Linked DNA regions of Alligator mississippiensis. The protein of the gene in region 2 purifies or fractionates together with the protein of the main gene of each other region. This does not show direct contact. Links are inferred from orthologs where the notes say so. Each region holds a gene or a part of one and is shown on either strand. Other genes may lie near its edges. The genes, in order: ING3 and EPC2.

Region 1 (14,731 bases), about 180 Mb from region 2:
TCCAAACTCATGACCCAGGTCTGTATATTGCTGACCTTTGACCTTTCTAGCTAGTTACAATTTAAATAAAAAAAACAAGTAATCCAAAAATTGTCCTTAAAAAAAGGAAAGAAACAAATAGAAGCAAAATATCCACCACCTCTAATTAAAGATAGCCTCTGAGCTCTACAAGGAGATGGAAGAGTATAGGAGAGTCCTGCCAACAAAGCGGGTAACTACATATTCTCATCAGATACCACCATCTGGGCAGGATTTTCATTATAATGAACTCTGCTTGAGAGAGGGCTTAAGAAGAAAAAAGTAAAGTCACTAATAAAATAATAAAATTAACTATGTTGCTCATGTTGTTCTTGTTTGGTTATTTTGCTAAAAGCATTTTCAGTTTTAAAAAACAGACAAAGTGATACCTTTTGAAAGCAGGTGACTAACCAAAATAAGAGACAGCCCTACAGCCCCTCAAAATGACCAAAAAACACGCAAACGTAGGAATGGGAAGAGTTTATTTCCCTATTTTGGAAATAAAGTTCCAATAAATTCTGTAAGACTTGAAGACGGAAGGAGGATTTCTCCGCTGCACGCAAACAATAGTGCTTTGTAGAATGGGTGGAATAAGTACGTGGCTACCTGGCACATTTCCAAAACCAGCAGCTGCCTCTATCAAAAATTAGCCTTAACAGACTTCCAGTTCCAGGCTGGATAGATGACAAAACTCTTCAGTATATATTTGGACAGCTTTTAGTAACGTTCAAAAAATGGTGTCAAATGAAACATTAAGCAGCACTGTATAACACAACGGTGTTAAAAGATCTGCTCCATGGGTCTGGATCCCATGCAGGGATTCAGAGACAGGACTCACCACCAAGTTCCAGGCTATGGAGCCTCATTTTGGCAGGGAGGGTAGTCTAATGGTTTCAGCCACCATATATAAAATACCTGAACATCTTTTAGGATCCAGCACTGGGAGAAAGGCCTAACAGAAATGGGCACAAGGGAAAAGTAGAGACAGACCTACCAACTCACCAGTAAGGAACTCATTTGTAAAATGGTGTCATTAGTCTTTAGGATAAACTAACCCTTCTACAATTTGGTGCAAGATTAGAGCTGAAGACTTGTTACCTTTACAAAGTCACTACATTACAATAATTTGGCTTTTTTGAATTTACCAGAAATCACTAAATGAAATGACTCAAGACACACTTTCCTTAACTTTTATCAGAAGTATAGAGGTCCTTAAGGAATTTGGTGCAGAAACAGAAGTGCAGATGCTGCAGAAACAGAAGTCTACCATGATCACAAACTGACTTAGATCTTAAGACTCAGAGCCTAGTGAAGTAGTTTATGTGCTGCCCAAGACAAGGATGCATGCTACCTGTGGTAAGCAAACCTTAATCTTTCTGGATCATGGTGTATGCATGAGAGGACCTTCACCAGAACTTTTGATGTGTATGCCTAGGCAGGAGTATGGAGAAGCAGCAGCTTCCCAGACCTTCCATCTCTCCGTTAGACCACTGAGACAGATTCCAAAGGCCAGACCAAGTCTAGACATTCAGCACCTTGATGGCTGTAGTTGTATGTGCATCTGAGTTGAACCCAGATCTCCTGCATGACAGGCAAGGATTCTATCACTGAACCATAACAGTGGGTTCATGCTACCTGTAAGCACTGCAAAAATAAAATTGCTATTCTTACTTTAAGTCCTTTTGGGAAATGGCCCTCTGTAAATCTTGAAGACAAGTCAGTTATTCAAATGCTCCACTATGCACGATGTCTTCTTGGGCAAAAAACCACTAGCTTACAACGTAAAGGCCTGAAGTCACTAATTCTTTTTCCAGACAATGAGGTCTTCACATGACTGACAGTGACTTTTTTCAACATTAAAAAAAATCGTTAGGACCTTTGTCTGTGCTAATACCATTGAGGCCAGATAAGATGTCAAGTGAAAAGTGAATCCCTTTGAAGTGTGTCATGCCTCTAGAAGGTTGTCCTTAAAGTAAAGGCAAGCACCCTTTTTCGTGTGGGTAACTGGAACCCAAGAGAACGGGGGGTGACTTTTCTACCCTTGCTTTCTCAAATCTTCAAAGGAGTTACTCTCTAGTGCACAAGCTTCTTCTTGACCATCCATCCACTCTGGATGGAAAGCCAGAAAGACAATAAATACTTCACTTGAAAAATCTCCACTTCAAGGCTCAAAAGTCTGGATACAATTCAGCTGAGCTTCAATATCGCCATGGTTATCTCAAATGGAATAGTTGTAACCTGCTACTTACACTTTTTCCATTACTGCTTGGTGGCAAGAAATACCCCTTCATTAGCTGGTGCAAGATATGATCCAAGAGCAGCTCAAATTCTAATGGAGAGAAGTTTTTGGCCAGGTGCTCGAGTCGCAGCACCTGCAGATTTCTGAGCCATCACTAACTTAGGAGTCAGCTGACTAAACAGTTGTTCAAAATGTGGAAATATGGAATTCTGCACTGCCAGAAGATTCTTCTGGTTTATCTATAGCATTTAACTGGTGGGAATCCTCACAAGTACTTAGACCAGAAGAGATGAGAAAGGAGCCTGAAATTTCTACAATGCTTAAAGATGCTCTCTCTTGCTATGCAAAAGTTACTGGGAACACAAGGTGCATGTCAAAACATTTCCTACAGACTTCCAGGGCCTAAATGTTGTGTTTATGAAGGCACACAAGGTTCTTTAGGTAAATGTGATATCTTGTATTAGACCAGGGGTGGGCAAAATATGGCCCATGGGCCAAATCCTATCTGGCCTGTGGAGCCCCTAAAAAAAATTTAGAAAATTAATATTTGTCTGCCCCAGCTGTCTGTCAAAGATGACAACAGCCAGGGGCAGTAGGACCCAGGGGAAGCCCCAGCAGGCTCCTGCAATAGCAGGGTCCACCCAGACCCACCCCACAACCAGAAGCCCCTGAGAAGGAAATTCAGGTAAAAAGAGGAAGTGGGGAAAGTGGTAGTGGGGGCAGGCGTGCAGGAGTGTGGGGCCTATGCCAGTGTCCCGGGGCCAGCGCTGGCAGGGCCCAGAGCAAGTGGCAGGAACATGGGGTGTAGGATGGCAGGGGTCTATGGAGCTGGGCTCCACTGTGCCAGCAGGGAGAGGGGAGCTGGCCCAGCTCCAAAGAGCCCCAGCCAGCTGGGACCCTGCACTCTTGTCGCCTGCTCTGGGCCATGCCGGTGCTGGCACTGGCACAGGTCCCACACTCCTGCCCAGCTGCCACGTGCCTGCTTGCTCCCAGCCCCGTGGCGGGCACAGGTGGGAATGACCGCAAACAGCACTGATCCTGCACACCCTGTGCTCGTCCATCCGGGCTGAGCAACAGCAGCAGCAGGGAGCAAGCCAATAGTTCAGCAAGAGGGAAAAGCTGCCCCTCCCCCTCCTGCTGCCAGCATTCCCTGCCCATTTGGGGCTATCCTGTCTGTCCACCATGTCCCCACCACCCATGGAGCAGTGGTGGCAGTGGAGAGAGAGCACAGGTAGCCCTGTGTGGGCTCCAAGCAGCTGCCACAGGGAGCACCGGTGGTGGGAGGTGAAGCAGCTGCTTTTCTGCCGCTCCAGCAGCTTTTCGTGCTCTGCCACTGCTGCTGCTCAGGCCACTGAGTGAACCTGGAGCCGCTGCGGCGCCCAGGCTGACAACAGCGGTGACAAACAAAGTGCAGCTGAGTGCAGAGGAAAAGCACTCCCCCTTCCGCTGGGCAGTTTGCTGGAGCCTGCTCCACGCTAGGCTCTGCTGTGGCTCTTTTGCCGCCAGCTCTGTGGCCACGTGAAGCAGCAGCACTGGGCAGCACAGAGCCGGCAGCAAAAGAGCTGCAGCGGAGCCTAGCATGGTGTGGGCTCCCCCAGCAAACACAGCCCAGAGGTGGTAAGGGGGGTGTATTTTCATTTGCCCTGGCAGCAGTTCGTGCCCTGCTACTACTCAGCCTGATGGGCGAGCCTGGAGCCAGTGCAGGGCCCAGGCTGGCAGCAGCAGTGAGGAACAAACTGCAACTGAGGGGAAAAGCGGTCCCTCCCCCTCCCGCCACTGGCACTCCCTGCAACATCTGCTTGGAGGCCACGTGGGGCTGCCTGTGCCCGTTCTCCATTGCCACAGTTGCCCCATGGGTGGCAGGGGCACAGAGGAGAGGCAGGACAGCCCTGCATGGGCTCTGGGCGGCTGCCACAGGGAGCACAGGTGGCAGGAGGGGGAATGGCTACTTTTCTCTCATGCTGAGCAGCAGCTTGTTCCCCACTGCCAACGGTGCTCAGCCCACAGGCGAGGGTGGGGCACGTGGGGTCAGGGCTGCTTGCAGTCATCCCTGCCTGTGCCACAGGGCTAGGGCTGGCGGGGCTAGGAGCGAGTGGGTGTGCGCAGCCAGATGGGAGCCGTGGCTTCCGCTACCGGTAGTTACGTGTAGGCAGCAGGGCAGCCCCAAGAGGGAGGCAGCTGGCTCTGTGTGCTCTGTCCTGCTCCCACGGTGATGGATGAGCCCAATAAGGTGCTGCCCATGCACCAGGACCGCGCCAGGCTGGGCAGGACCCTCCACTCCTGCGCACAGCTGAGAACAGGGGGATGCAAGCAGGGAAATGCCCACTTTCCTGCCCACCCGCTGGCCGCTCTGCACCCTGTGTCTCCCATACCCACAATACCATACCCAGAGACATCCCAACAAACCCCCATACCCAACCACACAAAGCTCCCCACAAACCACCTACCCCATACCTCCTGACACCCATGCACACCCGACACAGTATACGACTGTATTTTGAGCTTTTATGCAATCACTTCTACATATATAGCACAAACACACACAAATCAGATAATAATATTTTTTTAAATTAAATTAAAATATATCATTATGGGTGCCTGACTTTTACTATATAATTTATTTCCACCACCACCTTAGATGGCAAACCCTCTTCCCCAAAGGAGTACTTGCAGGGGCAAGGAGAGGGACTTCTGGTGGCAAAGGTCAGAGGTTAAGCAGGTGGGACTTCCAGTCCCAAGATGGTGACCAGGGAGCGGGGCACCTGGCAAGGAACGAAGCTACCCATGCGGACCTCTACAGCTTGCCAAAACTCGGTAAGTGGCCCTCTGCCTGAAATAATTGCCCGCTCCTGTATTAGACCAACTGAGTAGTAGGAAAAATTGTTCTTTGCAAACTTTCAGGCACAAACACCCTTCTTCAGGTTTATCAAGAGTTTCTGTGAAGAGATTTAGTACCTGACACAGCACAAGAGAAAAAAAAAAAAGCATTAAAAGTGGGACTAAAACTTTGAGGATGAATAGATGTGATTTGGCCAGCTCCCCAAACATATTCTGCCACTCATGTGGTCTCAACTTGAGCTTGTTTACTCTTAGTTCTGCCTTACTCTTTAAAAGAACACATTGCCTCATATCATGAGTGGAGTCCCATGGATTTCAAGCACTGTAGCCTGAAAAAGACGGAGCATGGGATGCATAAACGCTATTTGCTGGCAACACAAAGTTTGGAGTTGTGGACTGGGATCTCACCCAGGAAGAACGGGATGATCTCGAGGACCAGAGAAATAGAAATGCTATTTCACAGTCCAGACACCAGCGCAAACACCAAGACCTCGTGCTGTAACTGAGGTGTCAGCCCACAGCAGGCATGAGGTTGCATATGGGTGCCACCAAGGTGACAAGGCAGGTGGGGTTGAAATAGAGTTGCCAACCCTCCAGGAATTGGAGATAAATTTCCAGGAGACTGCTGAGTCACCCAGGAGATAATATTTCTTTTAATAAATGCCCTATCGTTTAAGTGTCAACCTCTGATTTATACAGTTGTCCAGTGGGTTTTTAAAACGCAACAGTCATGTGCATTTGCCTTCCTGACTGTCATTACATCATGTGATGAAGCCTCCTGGAACAGATTCAAACAGACTTGGTGACCCCAAGTAGAAATCAAGCAAGTCCATGCAAAGCAACAACACGGCAATGAAACTGAAGAATAAAACAGGGAGGAGGAGGAAGAAGGAGAAGGAGGGGGAAAAAAAGCTGCAGACAGGACCAGGCAGTGTCGCCCCCTCCTGGGTCTTCTGGTCTCCCACGTGGAGACTCCGCTCAGCAGCTCTCTGCCGCCCCGGGGAAGCGCAGCCTGGCGCTGCTGCCCCCACGCGGGCACCCAGCCGCTGCCAGGAGAAGCGGCAGGGCAGCAGCGCCGCCCCCGGGGACCGCCTGCACGCGGGGCTCCAGCGCTCCGCCCCTCTTTGCGCGCGGCCCCGGCAGCAGCAGCGGCGGCACCGCCTCCCCGCGGGGCAGCGCCCGGGGCCGAGCGTGGGGCGGGGGCTGGAGCTGGGCCCGCCCCCCGCGGGCGGGGAGGAGGGGGGAGGGGAGCGCGGGGCGGGGCGGGGCGGGACTCACGTACTCTGCACCTGCAGGTCCATCTCGCGCATCTCGGTGAACCTGTCGCGCAGATCCATGGGAAGCTGCTCGATCACTGCGGGCACACGGGGGGAGGGGGTCAGCCGCCGCCGGAGGCAGGGGAGCCGCCGCGCCGCCCTCGCCCCCGCACCGCGCCGCCGTCCCCCCCCCCCGCCGCACGCACTCACTCTCCAGATAGTCCTCCAGATACAGCATGGCGGCGGCCGGGCCGGGCCCGCGCCCAGGGGCTCCTCGCTAACGGGCTCGTCCCTTCCAATATGGCGCCGCCGCCAACAACGCCAGCAGCTCGACTCAGCGAAAACAACATTGGCGGCGGCGGGCACTCGCCTTAACCGCGTTGCGATTGGCTGCCGCCCGCGCTGACGTACCCGGGCCCCGCAGCATCCTGGGACGTGTAGTCGCGCTGGGGACCCCGGCGGGGAAGGGGGCGGGGACTACATGTCCCAGGAGGCTCCGCGCCCAGCTGGGGCCTCATCCCGCGCGGCAGGACAGTGGAAGTTCTTGCGGTGCCAAGTGCAGGGCGGCAAAGTGGAGCTTCTCAGTGACTCGCTCGTATTCCTGCCCCAAAGGCCTGAAGCACATCTGAATGGGTCACGTTTTTTTAGGAGGAGCTCAGCTTTTCATATATTTCTAGCCCTCATAGTTGACATAGGGTTTTTCCCTCCTGGAAGTTGGAGTTGCTACCTCTCAATCTCTTTTGGAGGTGCCCCCGCTCCTGTTCCTGAGAGCTCTAGCTCCTGGGGTCATGTTATTTCAGGAGGATCTCAGCTTTCAGTTTTTTACATATATTTCTAGCCCTCCTGGTTGACACTAGGGTTTGAATTACGGGGGGGTCCCCATAAGAGACAAGAGCGCCCCCCCCCCAAAAAAAGATGAGGGCCCCCAGCCCACCCCGTGCCTTTCTAAGCACTTAAGGCAACGGCAGTGGCTTCTTCCAGCTTCCGGCTGCCACTGCCACAGACCCCCCACACAAAGAGTCAGAGTGTCATTCAAACCCTGGCTAACGCATCGCACCACATGTTAAGCCCCCCACATTCTTCAATGCAAAAAAGTCCTTGGAGCAGAGCTCCATAGTAGGTTTCATTGCATTCACTGCCTTCATCAATCACTTCTGCGTTCAGAATTTGCCACCCAATTTCTGCAAATATTCCTACAATAGCGCAGAATTCTGGGGTATATGAGACAGAACTGGAAGTCAATCTAAATTTGCTGCTTTTGATGTGCCTGAGGTACTGAATCAAAGTGCCTTAAAGCCTCCCTTGCCCCCCATCTGCTCCCCAAAATTAGAAGCTACATAAAAGGAACCTGAAATACAGTATTATTTAAAATCTTACAATTTGCATATGTGTTAAACAAGGTTTCAAGCACAAAATGCCCTTTTCAGGCATGAGAATAAAGTCAACATTTTTGTGATATATATACATTTTTGGTTGTTGTTATTTCTTAATATGTAAGATTGATAATATGACACTAATACCACATGAGATGACAATATATATAACTTGCACACTTTTTTTTGTACAAATGCCATGCAGTATGTACCCATTTCATATGCTGTCATGAATAGCTCCTTTTTCATATCTAATGGTACACTGGTGTATATAACAAAACATGAAATGGGCCTGACATAAAGTCAGTGGACTGCGATTAACTTCTGTGAGCTTTGTATGTACATCCAATGTCTGGTCCAGCAAAGTTGGTGCTTGAGTATCACTACCTTAATACTGGTAACATTGGCTTCATTCAGCAATATCAGGACCTGTACATGGCCTTCAGTGAGCTTACTAAGGCCTCTGATTGTGACCACCAGTCACAAACCCCTGTGGAAAGTACTGACTTCTGAAAAGTTCTTCAAGGTTCTACGCCTTCTCCATGACCAGACGACTACGAGCAGTCTTTGCAGCAGATCAGAAACAGATCCATGTGTCATCTGAACTGCAGTCGAGCAAGGATGCATCGTTACTCTAATGCTGATCTCCATTTTTTTGACAGTCATCCTGGTTCTCATTAAGGACCACCTTACTTCCAGAACTGACACTGAATATCAAACGGATGGAGTACTCTTCAATTTGGGATGTTTTCCCTCAAAGACCAAAGTTCTGAAAACATCCACCTTCTGACAAGTGTGCCATCCTTGCATACATTGAGGAAAACCTCCAGACCACACCAGATCTCTTTGCAAAAGCCTACCGAACTTTGGGTCTCCCTCTCAATATCGAGAAGAAGTGGTCTATCAGCCCATTGCAGGCCATGAATATGACCCAAATTACCATTGAGGGAAAGACCTAGGAGGTATTCAAGAACTTCCCCTACCTCAGTAGCTACCTCTCAGAGAGTGAACACTGATGAGGAGATCCAGCACAGCATGGGCAACTGGTGCCGTCTTAGTCAGGGGGGGCACGTGCCAGTGACCAGTCAGCAATCGCAGCCAATCTTGCCACCTGGGGGGTAAGAGTTCCCCCGCAGAAAAACTTGCTGACCTGGAAGTGGCTGCAGTGCTTCTGGAAGTGGCCATGGTGCTACATCGGCTCCCCCACTCTCTGGCCAGCATTTGCAGGGGGTACATTGGTGCTCCTGCCTGCCACCCCCCCCCCCGGCCCCCCGCTCATTGCCTAAGTGGGGAGTGTGGCTGGTCACAGGGTGCACCAGCGTGCTCAGGGGGTGCACATGCACCCCCATTCACCCGCTATGTGTTGCTACTGCAGCACGGGATCTGGTACACAAGTGCCTCCCTTGGAAAATTGCTGCAGCCTATCTTTATTCACTGTGATCTCCAGAAAGACACCGAGATCCAGGTCTACAATGCAGTCATCATTCCCACTTCTCTCTATGGATGTGAAATGAGAATGACCTACCATTGTCATCTCAAGAGCCTAGATAGGTATTACCAATAATGCACCTGGAAAAATTCTCCACATCAAATAGGAAGATTGCCATACAAACACCAGCATCCTTGCTAAAGCCAGTGTTACCAGCTTGAGTCAGTAATCCTCAAGCACCAACTTCCCTGGTCTGGGCATTGTGTGTGGATGTCTGGCTCTCAGCTTACAAAACAAGTGATCTACTCCCCGTTCACTTATGGCCTGAGAGATCGCAGTGACCAGAGGAAATTCTACAAGGACACATTAAAGGCATACCTGAACAAATGGATGACAGCATCAAGAGCTCGGAGCAGCTGGCTGCCAACAGACTCCAGTGATGCCACAGCCTCAACCAAGCAGTTGCCTGTTTCAAGGTAAAGCATCCTGCCCTCAAAGCAGACGAGAGAGCAGAGGAAGGAAAAGGAGAGGAACTCCAGGCTATGGCCTGTTCTGTCCTGTAGAAAGTTTGCAAGCCGTCCCACTTGTATGTCCTCTGTAACTTGATTGAGAAACTTGCTGTTCCTTCAGATTATTAATAAAAATGTCAAACAGTACAGGATACATAACAGACCCCTGTGAGACTTTGGGCTGTTCTGACATTGATTCATTTATAGTAACTCTCTTCTTGTGGTTATTTAGCCAGTTATGTTTCGACTTAGCAGTGATTTTATCTAGCCCTTATTTCTCTAATTTACTTATAAGAATGCCATGTAGGACCTACCAAGACCTTACTAAAGTCAAAGTACATTATGTCTGTCAAACTAGTTATCCTGTCAAAGAAAGGAATCACAATAGTTTGACATGTTTTGCACTTAGCAAATACATGCCAGATACTAGTGATCACCTCTTCTTCCTTCAGGTGTTTACAAACTGGCTGTTTTATTGTTTATTCCAGTAACTTCCCAGGTATTGAAGTCAGGAAAGCTGATCTGTAATTTCCCACCCCCTTTTTAGAGATGGGTATTATGTTAGTCCTTCTCCAGTCCATTGTGGCAGAACAGATACTTTTCTTGTTTTTAAAGAGTTTTGATGTATAACTAGTTAAAATACATTTGAATTTTAAATCTCAGACATATTTTTTTTTTATCTGGGATATGTGGAAAATAGTTTTCTTTTCACTATTTTTGGACAAACATTATGTAAAAAAAAAAAAAAAGACATTTTAAAAAGTCCTATATTGTGGTGACCTACAGAGGCTTTTCTAAAAAGGTCTGAGAACAATGAATGTTGATTTCTTCAAGAAAGATTGCATTTAAGCATTGGTGATGCATAGAGGTGCACCGCCTGAGAGAAGTGCCAGCAGCATTTCTGGTTTTGCCGCCGGCACTTCCACATGCATTTAAGCACCCATTTTTCATACACATCCCACCCTTGGCCATTCTGCAAAGACATCCAATGACTAACAGTTGGTATCTTCTGGCATTTCTGTGGTGAGTACATTTATACATGGAAAATTGGATTGAGAGCATTGGCTAATTCCATGTCAGTCATTGAACAGTTGTTAGGTAGAAATTACATCATACTTTTGCAATTAACCAGAAGGCCTAGATCAGTGATTCTCAAACTTTTTAGACTTGAGGCATCCTCAGAAAATGCCAGCTTTCAGCTTTCACTCATTTTTTACTACAAAAAAAATAATAGAGCAATTCTTTCATTGCAAATAACTCAGAAAAACTGCAATAAGAATCCTCTTGACACTATGAATTCCTATTCGAAATCTCTGGCTTTATCTAATGAATCATTTGTGGGTGTTTACACACCTAACAGTGCTAGTATTGCATGGAACCCTGTGGCACCCTTAAAAGAATGTCATGACACTCTAGGGCAGGGGTGGGCAATTAGTTTGGGTGGAGGGCTGCTTACTGAGTTTTGGCAAGCCAACGAGGGCTGCATGATAGGCAGCCAGAGGCAGATAAATATTAATTTTCTAAATGTTTTAATGGCCCCGCGGGCTGGATAGAATGGCCTGGCGGGCCGTACCCAGCCCCCAGGCTGCATTTTGCCCAACCCTGCTTTAGGATGCCACAGCAGCATGGTTGAGAATCACTGTCCTAGATGACAAGCTCTGTACCATATTGCTTACAGGAAACACCCCATTGTCCAAGTGCAATGCATGGAGCTAAAATGACAAATATTGATGATTGTCATGAGACATTTTAAGATAAATGAGGAAACCCATTTTCATAAAATCATAGAAGTAGGGTCAGAAGGGACCTTGTAGATCTTTGAGTCTGACCCCCTGCCTGGGCAGGAGGAAAACTGGGCTCAAAAAATTTTACTTATAAAGTCCTTCATATATAATCTTAACCAGCTGCTTTGCATTATTAAATATAAGTTCAATTCATTGAATGCATTGAATTCTACAGAAAGGTCACAGTGTTATCAACCTCTGATTCTAAAATGACGATATAAAATTAACTTAAGTAATTAATTGAAGAGCAGCTATAAGTTGTCAGAGAACTCCATTAAATGAGAGCAAGCTAGTTAAATGAGTCATTTTCATTACAGAAGGAATAGCATGCCGATACTTAACAAAAATGAGACAGGAAAGGAAGCCTGTTTCTACACAAAATTGTTTCTACACAATTTGTTGTGCAGGGGACTAAGACTCTGATCCTTTCTGCAGCTGAGGATTGATGAATCTTTATCTACTCACTGAAGTCAAAGGGCTTCACATTAAAAGAAAACTCAGCCCAAAATCTTAGGTTAAGATAGTTGTATCCTGTTTTCTTTAGAGAAAAGCTGAATGAGTTTTGGGAAATTTGGGGACATGAAGTCATTTTTTAAAAATGTTTGTCATACCATGTCTTTTTTTAAAGTGAGAATATTAACAGCTCTTGTAAAATTAATATGAATTTGTTTTTTCTCCTTCAAGAAGAGTGAGTATTATAGTATTTTGGGACAGGAGCTTGAGTTACTGTTTAGACAACTCAGTTCAGGTCAAAATCAGTCTTCTGATACAATCAACAATGGGGTTTTAAGAATGTGAATGTAGGATCTATCTGGTTCAGTATCTATTAAGAGGTATATAGGAACAAGAGTATCTGCCCTTAGCTTTTTCAATGTGAATTTTGTCTCTAGAGTCTCACATTTTTCACTACAGTTTCATTTCTGTTGTTTTATTCATATTAGGTAGTCAGATAATATGAATAGTCAGAATTAGTTCCATGAGATTTACATGCAAATAGATCCTGCTCACAGGTAAGAGTGGTAGAACTGAGCTATAATTTGATTTTTTAAATAGAATGAGTTAAGGCCATAAAAAGAGACTTTTTTTAAAGATGAAAAACTTCCCATTGTACATAAATGTGGAGAATTAACTCTATTGACTAACCTGGCTTTTATAGCATCCTAATTGCCTACAATTAAGGAAAAATAGATTAGTGACAGAGCTTATTGAGATGCAAATAAACTTCAAAGAAAACTGAACCCCAACTGTGAAACATTCATGAACTTGAGAAAAAAGAAGATTCAGCTACTGAATTCATTCCATGCTGCTCAAACATGCCAAAGAACAATCAAACTGTTTAGTACAGAGGAGTGGAGGCCATAAGAGCTGCCATTTCCTATGAATGATTTATATGGCAAAATTACTGATATTAATGGCATTTGTCCTGCAAGCATTCCACATAAATTGCATATTGTCACCTCTATTAGCATGCTACACTATACCTAAAGAATATTACTGTTTTTCTGTGACTCAAAGCAAATTGCATGAAAAAAATCTCTTTTTTCTATTAATGGAATCATAACTGATTAGAAAAGTGAATAACTTATATGTTTGCATATGATGAAATATTCTTATGCACATTTAAAAGCATTTCATCAACTTAAAAATAAAAATTTTAAAAAGTCTTTCTTAATCTCCCTCTGGTCCCTTTTCAGTTCTTCTGTCCCTTTCTAGCTGTCTTCCATCTCAGGTTTGTCTTCACTATTTCCAGAATTTCTTATCATATCTTCCTCATTGTAGCTCTTCATTCCAGCTTGCCTGTTTCTGCACACCCCTGTCAGATCCATTCTCTTTACCTCTCTGACTTCAGATTTTCTCTCCCCATTTACTGCTCCAGTCATCTCATTATCAACTTCTTTCTCTTCTTACCATTATATTTCTGGGTTCCCTCTTTGTACCGTTTCTTTCTGCCAAGTCTAGTAGACAGAATCCAGTGGCCTAGTCCAAAATTAGGCTGAGGCTGTAGGGTTGGAATAACTACAGCTTTTTGCCTGTGCTTGGACGTCTTACTGAGTATCAGTTGTCAGTCTGCTCCCAATCATAACCAGAAGCGTCTGATGTGGTGTAAGCTGGGGTTGTCCAATTTCTAAGCAGCTGGGGGCCAAATGCCCTGTGGGTGACACCAAAAGGGTGCAGCCCCTATGGGCTTCTCCCCTTGTCTTACAGGAACCTGGACAAACTATGGGCCCTGTGGGCCACATGCTGTGTGGACACCACCCGCCTCCTGCACTGCATGGGTATTCCCTCAACTGTAATGGGTACCTGCCCCTCCACTACATGGAGTGCCCATTCCCCTGCAATGTTGCATTGTACATCCTTCCCCACTGCACCATGCACCCTGCATTGGATGCAGGCAGAGAAAGCTATAGGAGGGAAGAGGATCCTGGAGCCCAGAAGTGGGTGGAGGAGCACCTGGACAAGAGCTGAGCGCCTTAACCCCTCACGGGCCACTACTTGGACCAAGCTCTAGTGTAAATAATTGCTGCCTATCTAGAAGTATAGATTTTGTTCTTACAGGAATACTTTCAAAGGCTCATAGGTAACCAAGCTACACTAGGGCAATGGGACAACCAGAGCCTGTGGACAAATACCAGGCTGAGAGGTCCCTCAAATGCTGGTGCATTTTTTTCAACGATATATGACACTTTCCACAGCTGTACTATAGGAATTCTGTCAAATGAAGCAAGAACCATTTACAGCTCCAGTGACAATTTGCTGCTGAGGGCCAGTGTGCAAAGTTTTACCTGAGTAAGAACTGCAGAATCAGGCCCATTGCTATTTTCCCTATTTTATTTTCATTTTTCTTCATTTCCTGTCCCTTGCTGCATCTTCTGCTCAGAAGACAGCCTTGCCTCTTGCTGCGGTCTTTCCACTCTTTCCAGTTCTCTTTTCTTTCTCTCTAATTTAACTATTACTTTCAGTTGTCATGATCCTACCATTTCCAATAGTCCATCTCTTCTCCTGGTGTATTCTTCTCAGTACAGAGGAAGTAACTGTCATTGCACTGGTGCTGCACTGTACAGCCATTGGGGAACATCAATTCAATAATTCTCTTGAGACTGAGTACCTTTATGAAACTTTATGAGTAATTTTATTAAATGAAAAACTCCATCTAAAGCTAGATCTTACAGAAGCAGAGAAAGAAAATCAGATAAATAGCATTGCCCTTGACCTATGGAGTGATTGATAGAAACTTCACGCTTCTCAGAAATCATCCTCAAAAAGGCAAACTAGGCCCATAAGTAT
Region 2 (15,482 bases):
TCCATTCAAATAAAGCTTGAGATATACAAATGAATAAAATATTTAACCATCTAACAAAAAGGAAATCTGTCACTCTCCATTTTTTAAATTAAAAATCTGAACAAGTGTATAATGGCTTATATAAATGTATACAGATGTACTACACTACCTCTTGGTTAAGACAAAAGTAGTTGCAAGGCAAGACATTTCAGGGGCTAGGGAACTGTGAAAATGAACTTTTTAAAAAATAACCATAAAGTACAAACACAAAACAAAATTTAAATTGATTTATTAAAATAAGGTTTCCAGTTGTCTAAGTTTTTATTAAAATAAGTAAAGTAAATCACCTTAAAAAAAATCTACTTTGAAACTGCATCCAGTGGATGCAGTTGTAAATTTTTGTAAAATTGAAGAGATGCAAGATCTGACACACGAGCGTTCTAAATACAAATGAGTCGACATGCTTAAGAAATCTCCTTCTAAGGTTTCTTTCAATAAAAGGAAAATTAGATGTACTACAAAAATCTGTAAGGTTCCAGTGCTGAGACAGCGATTTACACTTACCACATGGAACCAGTGAAGCACCTCCCTGTCAACAACAGTAGCTATGTTTGTGTGATCCTATTAAGTTTTAACAGTGCAGCATCAACATCAACAGAAAGTAACAATGCATGAGTAGACTGAAAGGTCATATTCCTCCACTTTTAAGGCTGATCTGGTAGTGGAAGACTTAAGCCACAGGAAGGGTAGAGAACAACTGCTACTAACAGCACTGACCAATAGGTAGAAAAAGGACATAAGTAAAGAATGCTGGTGAGGAAGGGGGAAAAAAGACAATGAAATGAAACCTTCCTCCTTATATGAATGAGTGGGGTATGAGTAAAGAGGGAGAAAAGTTCTTATAGGGAGTTACAAATTCTAAAAATAATGTCTCATTAGCAAAAAGATTTATAGAGATTTACAAAGTAGTGTTTGCTGGATTTGCAAGGCATATCTCCAAAAATCTCATGTGCAAGTAAATAAAACAATAGCTGTAAAGTAGGCTAATGAAAAGAAACTTGTGTGTAGATATGTTATCAATTGCTAGGAGAACTTACTCTAATCAAATCTGGCCTATTTCTCCTGTAAAGGAAACTTCTAGTCTTGATTACACTTAGGAAACTTTGCACAGAAGCAAAATCTCTAGAGATTCTATACCTAGATATTACCATAATCACTCATTCCTAGGTTTTATTTTTAGCCTATAAAACTTTTCTGTAGCTTGAACCCATTATCCCAGAGACTTCATAATACCCGCGTTAACCATTTGCGTCCTCTGCTTCTTTCATAAAGGGTGGGCAGGGGACATGTCAAGAGGGAGAAGGTAAACATCATGTCATTAATGTATCCCCAAAATTTAGAATAGGTCCTGGAACATTAGGTCTGTACAGGAAATGAAAGGGAGTGCTCTTACTGTTTTGAAGACAGAGTATAATTTAATTACTCTACCAACAATACTCCAAAATTAATATGTATAACAGTTTTGCATGGAAGAACAGACTAGATATTCCCTCATAAATGCTTTCAACAATTAATATCTTACAAGTGGTATTAGAATAGAATATATTTATTCCAATTCCTAGCTTTTGAAACTACAGTTATAAAAGCTAGGAAATTTCAAGTAAACTCAAATTTTCCAACTTATTAGTGCATTATCTTTTCAAACAGTTACCATATATCCATGAACCTGATCAAAAATAAAAGTGGAATCATTTGTTTAATGTTAATTTGAACTTTGGACACCAGCAATTGGGGATCATCAATACCTACCTTAAACTAATAATGTATCTTTTAAAAAAATACTTTTGTTTAATAATGACTATCCACAAACAGATAAAATAGGTCTGTTTACTACATACACACAGCTTTTGCTAAGAGGGATACAGGCTTACAATAACAAAACATTAAAAAAAAACAACAACCTTGTAGTGCTGCACCACAGCACAGATCATTCAGTGAGGAATGACTAAAACACTTGCTTGTCACCTTGAGAAAAGGTTCAACATCAAATTTTGAAAATCAGAAGTATAAACAAACTGTAAACAAGAGCCAATATAAAACCAAAAACCTTTGAAGGCTTCTGTCCACTCAGTACTACGGGGTGAGAAACACAGATTTTATATATAGATAGATCATAGTCTAATGAGAAAAGACAGGCTCACACGATCTTAGAGTATGATTAAAGAACTGTGGTATACAAGAAACAATCCTGAGTTATCATTTTGTTTAATAAATATATTTAATATTTTTATACATTTAGTAATGTTGAACCAGTGTTCCCAAACATCATTTTATCCTTAAGGAAAACCTGTTAAGTATGTGTAATAGACAAAGACACAGCAAATGACTTGCTTTCAATCACAGAAGTCAGTGGCTGAGTAGTATCCTAGTGTCAGCTACCAAAACTTTTAAATCAAAATACAAAGTTTCTATGATTTGAAATCTATGCATTCTTAAAGTAACTGGTAGATACTCTAAAAACACTGACCAATGAAGTAAGCAGAAAGCCTGTAGATCAGTAATTCCCAACTAGGGTGCCTTGAGATCCTTCCAAGGGTGCTGTGAGGTACTATACAACATAACATAGTTAAGAGTACAAACATGATTCACAAGGTAAACCCAAAGATTTCAAATAGGAATCCCTACTGTTCCAAACTCTTGGACCAGTTGCAGTCTTTCTATATTCTCTAGAACAGGAGAATTGCTGTATTATTCCCCCCCCACCAGTCAAAAAACAGGTTTTTGACATTTCTGTTCAGAGGAAAGTGGTTAGGTAGAATACGCAGAGCAGGCCTCCACTCTGAAAGCTGTCCAATTTTCACTGAACATAATAAAGAGCTTGTGAACTTTTACAGGGGACCTGATGGCTCAAGCAAGATAAGAGCACAGATAATCAAATGGGCAGGGCATATCACAAGAACTGACAGTACACGAGGCAGATTTTGGAAGCTGAGGAGGATATCAGATCTCAAGAAAGACCAAGGCAATGAGAAAATGATCTGGTAAAGATGTGACAAGGTGGAAGGAGACAGCATAAGACAGGAGGAGATGGAAGGCTGTAGTTAAGGCCATTCTAGGCCCTGGAAGCCTGCAAGACCACAGAGAAAGAGAGACAGACATGTCCCTTTATGAGCTGACCCGTATAGAAGCTTGCTTAGTCCATTATTACTGAAGATTTGCAGCTTTGTGCTAGTGCTGTCAGACCTCCATATATGAGTGATCTTCTGAAAAGCAGTGGTGGCGTTACCTACAATGAAGCTCTTATATCATGGATTCAATCACCACAGTTCTGAAAAAGCACTGTGTCTAGGTGAGTGAACTTATCAACAGTTCAAAGCCACTCCTCTGGGAATGATGGAATCATCCAAGGTCAAAAAGACTTCCATAACTCTTGTTTTTGTTTATTTAGCAATCTTGGCTAGGTTATCAGCCTATGGCTACCTTTTATTTATTGATGTTTTCAAAGAAAAATATCAGCAGCAAACTCAAGATCTTCAAACATATGATCTATCCACAGAATTCAAGTTTCTGTAGCAGAGGTCTGCTGCAGAGCAACATAAAACAAGGGGGAGAAGGAACACCCCTGCTGAAAATCAGTGGTAATTACCAATTAGTCCAGTATTTTTTGATTGGAGATGACAGCATAGTTATCCACCTGATAAAGTCTGGAAGAGCTAGATAATTTTACATGCATCAACACTATTAACTATTTCACTGCTCACAATATGCAAGAAAGAAGTATCAGATTATGAAGATCTATGTTATCATTTCCCAAAGATGGGAGAAGAACTCTGAAGAACGTGTGTGATTTAGAGATTATCACATTAACAAGGATTTTATCAATAGATGAGAGAGGTCAAAGCAAGGGATGACCGATTTCAATTTTCCTGAAGAGGGACTAAACTAACAAAAGTTTGAGGAAAATGTTCAAGAGGAATCGGCGACTGTCAATGACATTTACAAAAGTACCTTGGTCAACTAGCAACCCGGTCAATACAACAGCCGATTTGGCAAGCTGTTTAAGGCTACTTCTGAGCCTCCTCTGCCAGTGTTAGTAAGTTAATGGTCATAGAGACATTGTAACTTCCCTCCCCACAACACACACACTAAGAGCAGGAGGGAGGAATGAGTACTGGGTCTGATCTTGCAACCAGATTTATGGAGGGCCCCATGATTTCACTTAAAATCTCTTCAGATATAAGGATCTACCTGAAATAATTTAATCATAGGACTGGTACCTAACTATATGAATAAAGCAAGAAAGCATTAAAACTAAAAATAGAATGCTGCCAAATGCAAAAGATAAAGAAATGATCATACAGATTTCCTTCGTTTCTTTCTGTTATAGTAACTTTCAGTGTTACTTTTTCTAAATGTTTTTGTTGTCATTACAAGTATGATTTTTTAAAGATGAAAGCACTCCGACATAAGAGCCTCAATTAAAAGAACAAGTACGCTGCTTTGGAAATACTACTAGTTCCAAGCAGGTAATATAGTAAAAAAACCTATCAGAAGCCAAGTGTTCAAAACACTGTAATGAAATTTAAAAATGGACACAAAGGCAAACTAGGGGACAAAATTTAAGTTTAATTTAACCCTCTCCCTTCCTTTCAAAACTCTCATGTAAGCAATCATGTAATTATGAATAATGATAAAATACCTTAAACCAAGTAAATAAGATTTTTTTTTTTTGCATTCTTACTCCTTTCTGCATTTTTAAATATATCCTTAACTTGGGTTTCTGCTCTGCTTAATCTCTAAGTTCATACTTAAGTGCCTAACCTAGTTACAAATGAATGAATGCTGAAACCTAAAATTCTGAGTTACTTCTACAATAGCACCTAAAGTGCCCAAAGCTATCAATTATTACTGTGATACTTTTGTGCTTGAAACTACATAAAGAAAGTCAAATCCACTTCTTAATACCTTCACTCACTAGTGAAGTCGTCTTGCCTTATTATTAAACATGAGTTTTTACCTAAAAATGTAGAAACACAACAGACTTCAAAAATATGCATTCAGATCAGACTGGGTAGTTATAAACTAAGACCTACATTAAGTGTTGCAGTACTAAAATAAATTCCCTTTATGACAGCAATGTTTGCTAATATGATAAAGTACATTTCCAGCACAGTAGCTGAAGAATTTGAACCACTGACTCTCTCCCAAATTCTAAAACTAAACAAAATAGAGCCAAATTCTATTGTCAGTTATGATATAAATCCAGATTAAATTCAAATGCTAATTAGTTTAGATTTATGCAAATAAGTGACAGAATTTGACTCAACTCTTAATCTTAAAGTTATGGGTGCTAGCGCACCGAAATGTACTAGACATCCCGACTCCAGAACTCTGATGGGGGTCATAAACAAAAAGAAATATAGCAATGCGAACATAGTCTGTAAGTTTTATTAATAAAACTTTTGCCCCAAAGATAAGATATAGAGAAGGTAGGTATTTTGAAAATAACCTGTGAATCTGAATTGGGAAGACTGTAATATTCAGGGTCAGGTTGCAGTACCCTACACTGAAAATTACCTGACACCACCAGCAGTCCCAAAGAATTCAATGGAAATACTTGTACATTGTGAAGCAGTCAATGTGACAGTATTGCAGTCTGGCATTAGAATATTTGTATAACATTGCTGCAATTAGATTAACTGAATGGTACAACGGCAAACCTCCATTCTAAGACAAGCAGATTTTATTTATTTTTTAATGTGTATGGATTCTGTTATTACAAGAGATTTTTTTTAACAAGTGTGTACACTGCTGTGTACACATGTGCATATGCATGCATCATTCACCCTTCAGTGAAGTTATTCTTAAGCCTAAATATCTGAGACGTTTGATTTTAAAATTTAGAAACTCCTGGTTTTTTAATATATACCTGTATTTATAAACATACCTCCCATGCTTCACAAAAATATAATAAACTATCAACACAGAAATTAAATGGCTATTAATGTATCTTCTTTAAAAGTAAAAAGATAGTTAGATCTTCCTGAAAGTGAAAGAGGCGTATCCTTCCCCAAGCTGGTACTAGGAATGTTCTCTCTGTTCTAAATACACTCATGGATGGTAGGACAATTTCATTCTCTAACAAGATCAAAACACACTTAGAGGATCAAGAAGCAGTGAAACCGATACATTATAAACATTGTAATACCATGAAAAATACAATGAGGTCATAACTATAAGTAACCAATGGAAGATACAAAAGATCTTTTTCAATATTAGCAGTCAAATAGGGAAGCCAATCAGAAACGCAGAACCTTCCTTTTGACAGCTACCACCTCTGAAAAGCCAATCCACATCCACAGCGGGTTGACTACCAGGCGGCAGCAGAGATTCATTGAAGAAATTCTTGAGGGTTCATTTACTATCAATTCTGAGTGCAAGTACAACCATATAAGGGACCGCTGGTGTGAGCAAGACACCAACCAAATGAATGCCGAAGTCAGCCTTTACGGACAGCAACAGCAAGCTCACCGAAGCAGCACTGCAATTATGGACAGCAATCAGCTTTGTGGCAGTACTGTCCTAACTCCCACAAGACCTTACCCTCGTGCAAAGACACAGACACCACCTCCACCTGCAGCGCTACAGCAAGGCACAGCAAACATTTCACATGCAGCACAAGTTCATGACTGGCCACACTAAACACTATAACGCACAGGGCAGTCAGGACCCAGCTGCAGCTCTGCAGCCACAGCCGGCCCTCATTCAACATGCGCCATGTGGCCCACAACACCTACTGCCATTCCTCAAAGAGCAAGTAGCCACTTCTCACAGGAGCAACCGGGCACTTCAATGCGACCGCTTGCAAGACAGCAGCTGGGATCCAGGTACCCCTAGGGCGAAGTGCGCAAAGCGGTGCTTGCTATGACAAGTGAAGGAGATTCCTGCGGGCTGGGATGGCAGGAGCTGCTGCATCCCGCACCCCAAGCTGCGGAGGCCGAGGTGACGGACCTGGCATGATAGGCCAGGTGAGGTCTCTTCAGCTGCGGAACAGGCCATGCCTCCTCTCGTCTGCCCGAGTGGGACCCCAGCCCGTGACAGCTGCAACCCCGCCGTGCCCGCCCGAGACCTGCCGCCGCCGTCGGCCCGGACGCCGCAAGCGCGGGGAAACCAGCAGCAGCAGCCCCAGGCCGCTACGCCAACTGCGGCCGACGCGCACACCTCGCCATTCAGAGACGCGTCTTGCGCCTCTCTCCCGCTCTACGCTAGCGTAAGGGCCTCCCCCTGCCGCTCATCAAAACACTCGCGAGTCCGGACGCAAAGAAGATGGCGGAGCAGGGCCCGCTTACGGCGCCGGAGCGGGCTTGACGCTGCGCTGTTTGCGCAGGGCCCCGTCAGGAGCGCGGGGCGCTGCGGCGGGGAGCGTGCGTAGTGCGCTTGGTGAATGCCAATGGCCTATTTCCCGTGAGGGGAGGGGGGGCGGCTGATAAACAATGGTGCCCCCCCTGCGCGGCTCCCTTACCGATTCCTCCTCCTTCTCCATGCCCGTGGGCATCTGCGGCACCGCCCGGTTGATGGAGACGCAGTCGTTGAGGTCGGGCATGTCCTTGCCGCGGTAGATGGGCAGCGGTTTGGCGGCGTCTAGCGCCCGGGCGCGGAAGGAGAGTTTGCTCATTGTCTCCCCCTCACAATAACAGCCCGCGGCGGCGGGCGGGGGGCTCAGTGCGGCCGCGCCGCCGCCTGCCGGCTCCCGCGCCCGGCCCGCCGCACCATGGGGGGCCCCGCCGCCCCGGACCAGCTCCCGCAGAGCCGCCCGCCGCTCCCAGCGCGCGCCCCGCAGCCCTAGATCCGCGCCGGGCTCGCCCGCTCCGCTCCCTGCGCCATGGCCAACATGGCGGACATTAACCAAAGCGGCCAGCGATCCCGGCAGCCACCGCGAGAGCGCGGGGGGAGGGGGAGCGGCGCGGGCGGGAGGGGGGGGGAGTTGGGGGGGGGGGGGGGGAAGAGCGCTGCGCGCGCAGCCGGCCGGGGATAGAGCGTGCGGGAGGCAGCCCTGGGCCCGCACTCTGGAGTTGTCCTTGCCCCTGCGCAGGCACACAGGTGTGCACAGCGCGGGCAAGCACGCATACACACCCAGGGGTGCACAGCATGCACAGGCACACAGTGGCGCACACACACACAGGTTGCGCACATACACAGATGTGCACAGCACGTGTGCACACCACCCACTCACTCATAACTATGCACACAGACGTGCACACCTTGACTAATACCATCTTCCCAATTCATATTTAGCAGTGTTTTGAAAATAGCTTACCGTTCTCTCTCTCTGGTATTGAGATGACAACTCTTTTATTAATAAAACTTACCAACTATGGGCTGGTTGCAGTATTTCTTTTTGTGAATGCACCCACGTGGCTTTGCACAGTGTTTGTGCACATGTACACACATGCACAGGTGTGCACAGCTACACGCAAATATATAGATGCACACAATGTATACATGTACACATACACAAGTGCAAAGCTGTGCATATGCAGGTGTGCACATGTGCAAGTTGGAGGCAAACGTGTGTACAACTGCACACATGCACATGTACATGTGTGTAAGCACACATGCAGCTTGCGCAACGTGCACCCACACAGGTGTGCACAGCTGTGCGTGCATGAACACACACATACATCATATGTAGACTCCACTGAACAGTCCTGGGGTAGACGATCCCTGGTGCATGTGGGTGCTGCAGATAGCGGGTAAGTCCTGTGCCAGAGACCACTACAGTCGGAGTCCTGGCCATGGGCACACATCTCAGAGGAGCTGCTCAGCCCAACTGCTCCTCACAGGCAGGAACAGAGTTTGCCACCTGAGGCAGAAGGCAGTGGGGATGCACAACTTACTGACTGACTGAAGCAGATTAGAGAGAGAGAGAGAGAGAGAGAGTAGCTCTGGTGAACTACACCTCAGTTCAGAGGCCATGAAAGGACAACAGAGCACGCGATATGAAGTGGACATGGCTTGACCCTGTCTCTTCATGGCCTCTGATGAAGTGACTTTGAGTTTACAGAGCTGGTGCGTGTAGCTGTAAGGGGCTTGTCCTCAGGGGCACCCAGAGGTTGTTTCTAACCTAATACAGGAAGAACCAGCAGCAAAAAAAAGGGGGGGTGGGGAGGGGAGTAGAGTAGGAGAGCAAAAGGGTTACAACAGTGAGAAGTGCTACTGATGTAACCCCCCTTTTTGTGGTATACATTAGCTAATAGCTTAAAAAAACGTGCACCTAGCCCACAGTGAAGGATAGTGTCCACATGTCCCCACTGAAATTTTGGAGTGATTTTTCCCTTCACTGAGGCCTGGATTGCACCCACAGGTGACAGAGCCCTGAGAGACTTAACGCTTGACTTCCCTGCTAAAAAGGTGTGATTTTGTACCTGGAGGTAACCACAAGCATGAGTGATCCCAAGGTAAGACTGTAGTAAAGTCTAAACATTTTTTCTTTACCACACAGTAAAAATTGATGAGATCAACCCTACATATTCCTGTCAGGAAGAAGTTCCTTCATAGTGAGGCTACAGTACCTAGCTTTCGCGGTACCTGTATCTTGGGATCAAAAAAATGGAAGTTCGTAGCACCACCACAAAAGCTCATTGTCACTGCAGCTTTAATGTGTGCTTGAGTTAACTTCTCTCATTAGCCTAGATGGAGTGAGAGTACTAACAGGGGAGCAGTACAGAGTGAGTGGATTAGCACCAGAGTAGCCTAGTCCCCACTGTATTATTAGCTCCAGCCTCAGCATCAACAGCTTGTCCTGACATGCAAGCCAGCTGCAGTTTAAAGCACTATTTAACTCAAACTCAAGATGTATGTATGTGCATAGGAGAGTCAGGCAAGGCTAAATGTTGAATTCGCTCTCATATTAACACTGTAGTGAAGACAATCTTGTAGTTACCCAGGCATATCTTTTTCCCTTAGCTCTCTACATGTAGGTATTTGGCTGTGAAGAGCATCCAGAAGCTTCAGGGAAAGCAGAAGGCAGGTACCTGTTTATTTTGTACTGCTTCCCACGGCTTGTAAGTTATTCATGCACATGCATTTTTTTAAATTTGTTGCTGACACTTTTTCTGGGATAATGATAATTTGCTTCTGTTTAGCTTAATTCTAAATGCTCTTTGGGCTAACCTACATAGGAACAGGAATCCTTACTCCACAGAGTAAGGGTAGGATGTAAGGAGTAAGGGTATCTCACAAAGTTATTAAAATAAAGCTATGCCTAAATAACTCAAGGTGTACAAGCCTTGAATACTTCTAATGTTCCAGATAATTATTTACTCCATGGTCAAGGTATTGATTTTGATCTATAAAATCTTATGTGAAATGCCTTGCCACCTCTCTGACATGCTATTTTGTTCTTTAATGACCAGCGATGGTCAGGACCTTTTGTTTACATCTTATTTGAGAGGTGTCGGACCAGATTTCCAACTGAGGTATGGACACACTTGATAACTGATGTAGACTAAAGATTGGCATCCTGTGGCCTGCAGCTTGAATTTAGCCCATGACTATAGAACAAACTGGCTGTGGATGCTCTCCCCATGCTGCCAAGAGAACAAGTGGTGGTCATGGGCAAACCTTAGTGCTTGTCTACCCTCGTGGGGGGGATCCAGGATTTTGTGAACAGGGGTGTAGGAACAGCAACTGGCACTGGAGGGATGACAGCACTTTTGTTCCCAGCTCCCTCCTTGCACTGAGGCAAGCAGAGTAGGGACTTTTTTAAGTCCCCAAAACTAGTAAAAAGCCTGTCCCCGACCCTGCTCTCAGCACTTTCTCCCGTCCCCCTCCATCCTCAGCAGCATGTCTGATCCAATTTATTTTCCCCCTCCCCTGCCCACTGCTGATACTGTCTCTGGCTTATCTTGGGTGGTGGTGGTGAGAGTGTCCAGTTCTCTCCCTTGTGAAATGAATTGGGAGGGTTGCAGGTTGAGTGGGACTTCAGAGCCACTGGAACCAGGCTGAGCAAGGGACAGCAGGAGCAGAGGGAACCAGACAGAGAGGAGCAGAGCGGAGGAATCTACCTATTGTCACTCCTCTTCCTGGCTGAAGTGAGCAAGGGACAGCAGCATCAGTGGGGACAGTGGCAGCAGCAGTGTGTGTGTGTGGGGGGGGGGGGTGGAAGAAGAGGGGACACACTAGGATGGAAGGGAAGGGAGGGTCTGGATCTCATTAGACTCAAAAGGGAAGCCTACTCCAGTTGGAAAATGGGAAGCATCACCAAAGAGGACTACTCAGCACTCGCCCATACCTGTAGGGAGTGGTCCAGAAAAGCCAAGGCACAAACTGAACTCAGGCTAGCTTCAGGGATCAAGGACCACAAAAAGTCCTTCTTCAGATATGTGGGAAGTTGAAAAAAGACTAAAAGTAGCATTGGGCCCCTGTGGGATCAAACGGGGCAGCTGACATTCGATGCCCAAGAAAAGGCCAATCTCCTAAACAATTTTTTTGCACTGGTTTTTCACCCTCTCAAGGGGATCATATTGTCAGAAAGGACACTAACCAGCCTGGGAGCGGGTGGCGGGCCCAAAACTGATGTGGATCAGGTGAAGGAACACTTTGAGAATCTGGACATTCACAAGGCCGTGGGCCCTGACAGAATGCACCCAAGAGCCTCGAAGGAGCCAGAAGACATCATTACACCCCACCTTCTCAAAGATATTTGAAAAGTCATGGTGCTCGGGCGAGGTCCCAGAAGACTGGAAAAGGGCCAATGTGGTTCCTATCTTCAAGAACGGGAGGAGGGATGACCCGGGGAATTATAGACCAATCAGTCTGACATCCACCCCAGGAAAAATCCTAGATAAAATTGTCAAGAGATCCATCAACACCAAACTAACAGAAGGCAAGCTTCTGAAGGCCAGCCAACATGGCTTTGTGACTGGCAGGTCTTTCCTGACCAACCTCATCTCCTTCTGTGACCAGGTGACACAAAGCCTGGACAAGGGGGATGACGTAGATGTCGTATATCTGGATTTCAAGAAAGCCTAGTTTCCCACAGTGTCCTCATGGCTAAGCTGAGGAACTGTGGCCTTGATCATCTTACAGTCTGATGGCTAGGTAACTGGCTACAAGATCAGACCCAAAGAGTACTAGTTGATGGAACCAAATCAATGTGGCACAGGGTGAGCAGTGGAGTCCCTCAGGGCTCGGTACTTGGGCCAGTACTCTTTAACATCTTCATTAACGATCTGGATTTGGGAGTCGGATGTGAGCTGGCCAAATTTGCAAATTACACCAAATTATGGGGGCGGGCAGTCACACCGCAGGACAGGCTGGGGATACAGGCCAACTTGGACCTGCTGTCAAGGTGGGCTGACCAAAACATGATGGTCTTCAATGTAGAGAAGTGTAAGGTGCTCCACCTCAGTAGGAAGAACCATCAACACACAAGCTTGGCAGTGCTACACTTGATAGCACCACAACCAAAAGAGACTTGGGTGTCCTGATTGACCACAGTATGAATATTAATTACCAATGCGATGCTGTGGCTGGCAAAGCAAGCCAAACTCTGGTGTGCATCTACCGATCCATCTCAAGCAAAACCAGAGATGTCATCCTCCCACTTTACTCAGCCTTAGTGAGGCCACAGCTGGAGTACTGCATCCAGTTTTGGGCCCCCCACTTCAGGAGGGATGTGGAAAAGCATGAGAGAGTCCAGAGGAGAGCCACTCGTATGATCCAATGCCTGGAGGGCAGGCCATAGGAGGAGAGGCTGAGGGATTTGAGACACTTCAGTTTGGAAAAGAAAAGGTTCAGGGGTGACTTGATAGCAGCCTACAATTATATAAGAGGGGTACATCAGGACCTGGGAGAACGCCTGTTCACCAGAGCTCCCCAAGGGATAACAAGGTCTAATGGCCACAAACTCCAGGAAGGCTGATTTAGACTAGACATAAGGGAAAAGTTCTTTATGGTGCATGTGTCCAGAGTCTGGAACAGACTCCCCCCAGAGGTGGTGCAAGCACCTACTCTGAACTCTTTCAAAAAATGTCTAGATATTTTTTCTTGCTGGGATCACTTGATCCCAGCTGTCTTCCTGCCTGGGGGGGGGGGGGGAGGGGGTTGGACTCGATCTCATGAGGTCCCTTCCAGCCCCTAATGTCTATGAAATCTATTAAATATATGAATAGAAAAAAACATACCTGGCTGCTGCTTCCACAGTGTGATCAGAAAGTTGGGGGGCAGGGGGGAGGGCTGGGGGGAAGAGGAAAGGGGAAGAGGGGAAAAGGATGCATCCATGCCACTGTACCTGCCCCTGCCTACCATTGATCTAGACATCATTTAAGGCAAGAGGCATTTCATTCTTGGCTTCACTGAATTTTGTAATCAGGTAGGACTGAGACTGAACTCCGTGAATTCTGTAGACCCTGTGCATGTTATGTAGGTACAATGGCACAGTACAGAATTACATGTTTCTCCTACTGCAACTGATACCCTTCTTGAAGGGACTTGCTAGCAAAAGTCTGTATATAAATTATATAATTGACATACACCCTCATCTTACCCACTGCCTAAAGTAGATCTAATCACTCAACGCATAGTACGATAAAAAAATTAGCTAAACCGAACCACATTTTCTACCAGGCAACTGGATAATAAAATAAATGATAAAGAATAAAAACCAAAAGTCAGTCACTCCTTAGGGTCTTCTAAGTACGGCATTGTGGACTGGCTCTCAGGAGATCTAAGTTAATTTCTCAACTGCCACAATTTTTTATGGTACTGGGGGCAAAGCATTTAAACTTTTTCTGCCTCTATTTCCCATCTTTAAAACATGGATAAAATATTTTTACCCACCCCTCAGCCTATTTTCTCTTTGGTGTACAGCACTAAGCAGAATTAAACCCTGATCTGACCTGGGAGTCTCTTGGCATCATGGTAATTCAAATAATGTCAGCAAGGCCTTTGACACTGTCGACCACCCCATCCTCATTAAAAAACTAGGTGACTGTGGCATTGATGCCTACATGGTCAGATGGATTGCGAATTGGCTGAAGGGTCATACTCAGAGGGTGGTGGTGGATGGGTCATATTCGACCTGGGGGGAAGTGGACAGCAGAGTCCCCCAGGGCTCAGTCCTTGGACCTGCGCTGTTCAATTTCTTTATCAGCGATTTGGATGATGGGGTAAAAAGCAACCTGTTCAAATTTGCTGATGATACCAAAATTTGGGGTGAGGTGGGCACGTTGGCAGGGAGCGAAAGACTGCAGAAAGACCTGGATAGGTTGCAGGGGTGGGCTAACAAAAACAGGATGCGTTTCAATACTGACAAGTGCAGGGTGCTGCACTTGGGCAGTAGTAACCAGCAGCACACTTTTAAGATGGGAAACTCCCTTCTTGAGAGCACGGAGGCAGAAAGGGATCTTGGAGTCATCATTGACTCCAAGATGAACGTGGGCCGACAATGCGAGGTCACAGTTGGCAGGGCTAACCGGATCTTATCGTGTATCCACAGGTGCATCTCAAGTAGGTCCAAGGAGGTGATCCTCCCCCTCTACGCGACACTGGTCAGGCCACAGCTGGAGTAGTGTCCAGTTCTGGGCACCCCACTTCAAGAGGGATGTGGACAACATTGAGAGGGTCCAGAGAAGGGCCACTCGCATGATCTGGGGACAACAGGGCAGACCCTACAATGAGAGGCTACGGGACCTGAACCTGTTTAGCCTTCACAAGAGAAGGCTGGGGGGGGACCTGGTGTCTGTCTATAAACTCACTAGGGGGGACCAGAAGGGTTTGGGGGAGACCTTGTTTCCCCAAGCACCCCCCGGGATAACAAGGAATAACGGCCACAAGTTGTTGGAGAGTAGGTTTAGATTAGACATCCGTAGGAACTACTTCACAGTCAGGGCGGCTAGGATCTGGAACCGACTTCCAAGGGAAGTGGTGCTGGCTCCTACCCTGGGGGTCTTTAAGAAGCGGCTTGATGCCTACCTGACTGGGGTCATTTGAGCCCAGTTTTCTTCCTGCCCAGGCAGGGGGTCGGATCTGAAGATCTACAAGGTCCCTTCCAACCCTACTTCTATGATTCTATGTTTCTATGAATAAGTATGCCATAAGCAAAGGGAGGAAAGTTAGTTTTTCAGAATATTTCATTCCATTTCTCCTGAATCTGAAAAGGTTTTCCCCAACTTTGAGGGATTTATTTTAAAGTATGTTTGTAAGTGATGTCATATATACCACACAGTAATGGAAACGCTTATATTTAGCTAAGGATGTGGAAAATTTGCAAAAAGAATCTTCTACAAAATTTAAGATTTGGTTTTTACATGGAAATTACACAGACAACTGAATTAATGTGCGACTTGATTTAGTTTCAGTGGTGTTACACTATTACATGAACACTTTTCAAAGAGTTTAAGAACGTTAGATATTGATTTACTTTAAACTACCCCATTTGGCACTAAGATACTGTTTACAACCTATCAAACTCAGTAATGCAGTGTTTTAAACATGGTTTT

What was found.
Region 1: the proteins of EPC2 (region 2) and ING3 purify together in Homo sapiens (affinity purification with mass spectrometry; 3 studies listed by BioGRID and IntAct, with this or other methods). This does not show direct contact. The link is inferred for Alligator mississippiensis from reciprocal best matches to the Homo sapiens genes EPC2 and ING3.

Annotation. Positions count from the first base shown.
Region 1 is NC_081827.1:46,127,324-46,142,054, forward strand, and holds the start of ING3 (inhibitor of growth protein 3), read right to left. Parts: upstream 6,715-14,731; 5' UTR 6,590-6,714; coding exon 6,562-6,589; exon of another isoform or gene 6,559-6,561; coding exon of another isoform or gene 6,558-6,558; intron 6,450-6,557; coding exon 6,378-6,449; intron 1-6,377. UniProt on the Homo sapiens protein: Component of the NuA4 histone acetyltransferase (HAT) complex which is involved in transcriptional activation of select genes principally by acetylation of nucleosomal histones H4 and H2A.
Region 2 is NC_081827.1:228,920,430-228,935,911, forward strand, and holds the start of EPC2 (enhancer of polycomb homolog 2), read right to left. Parts: upstream 7,853-15,482; 5' UTR 7,655-7,852; coding exon 7,502-7,654; exon of another isoform or gene 7,486-7,501; intron 1-7,485. UniProt on the Homo sapiens protein: May play a role in transcription or DNA repair.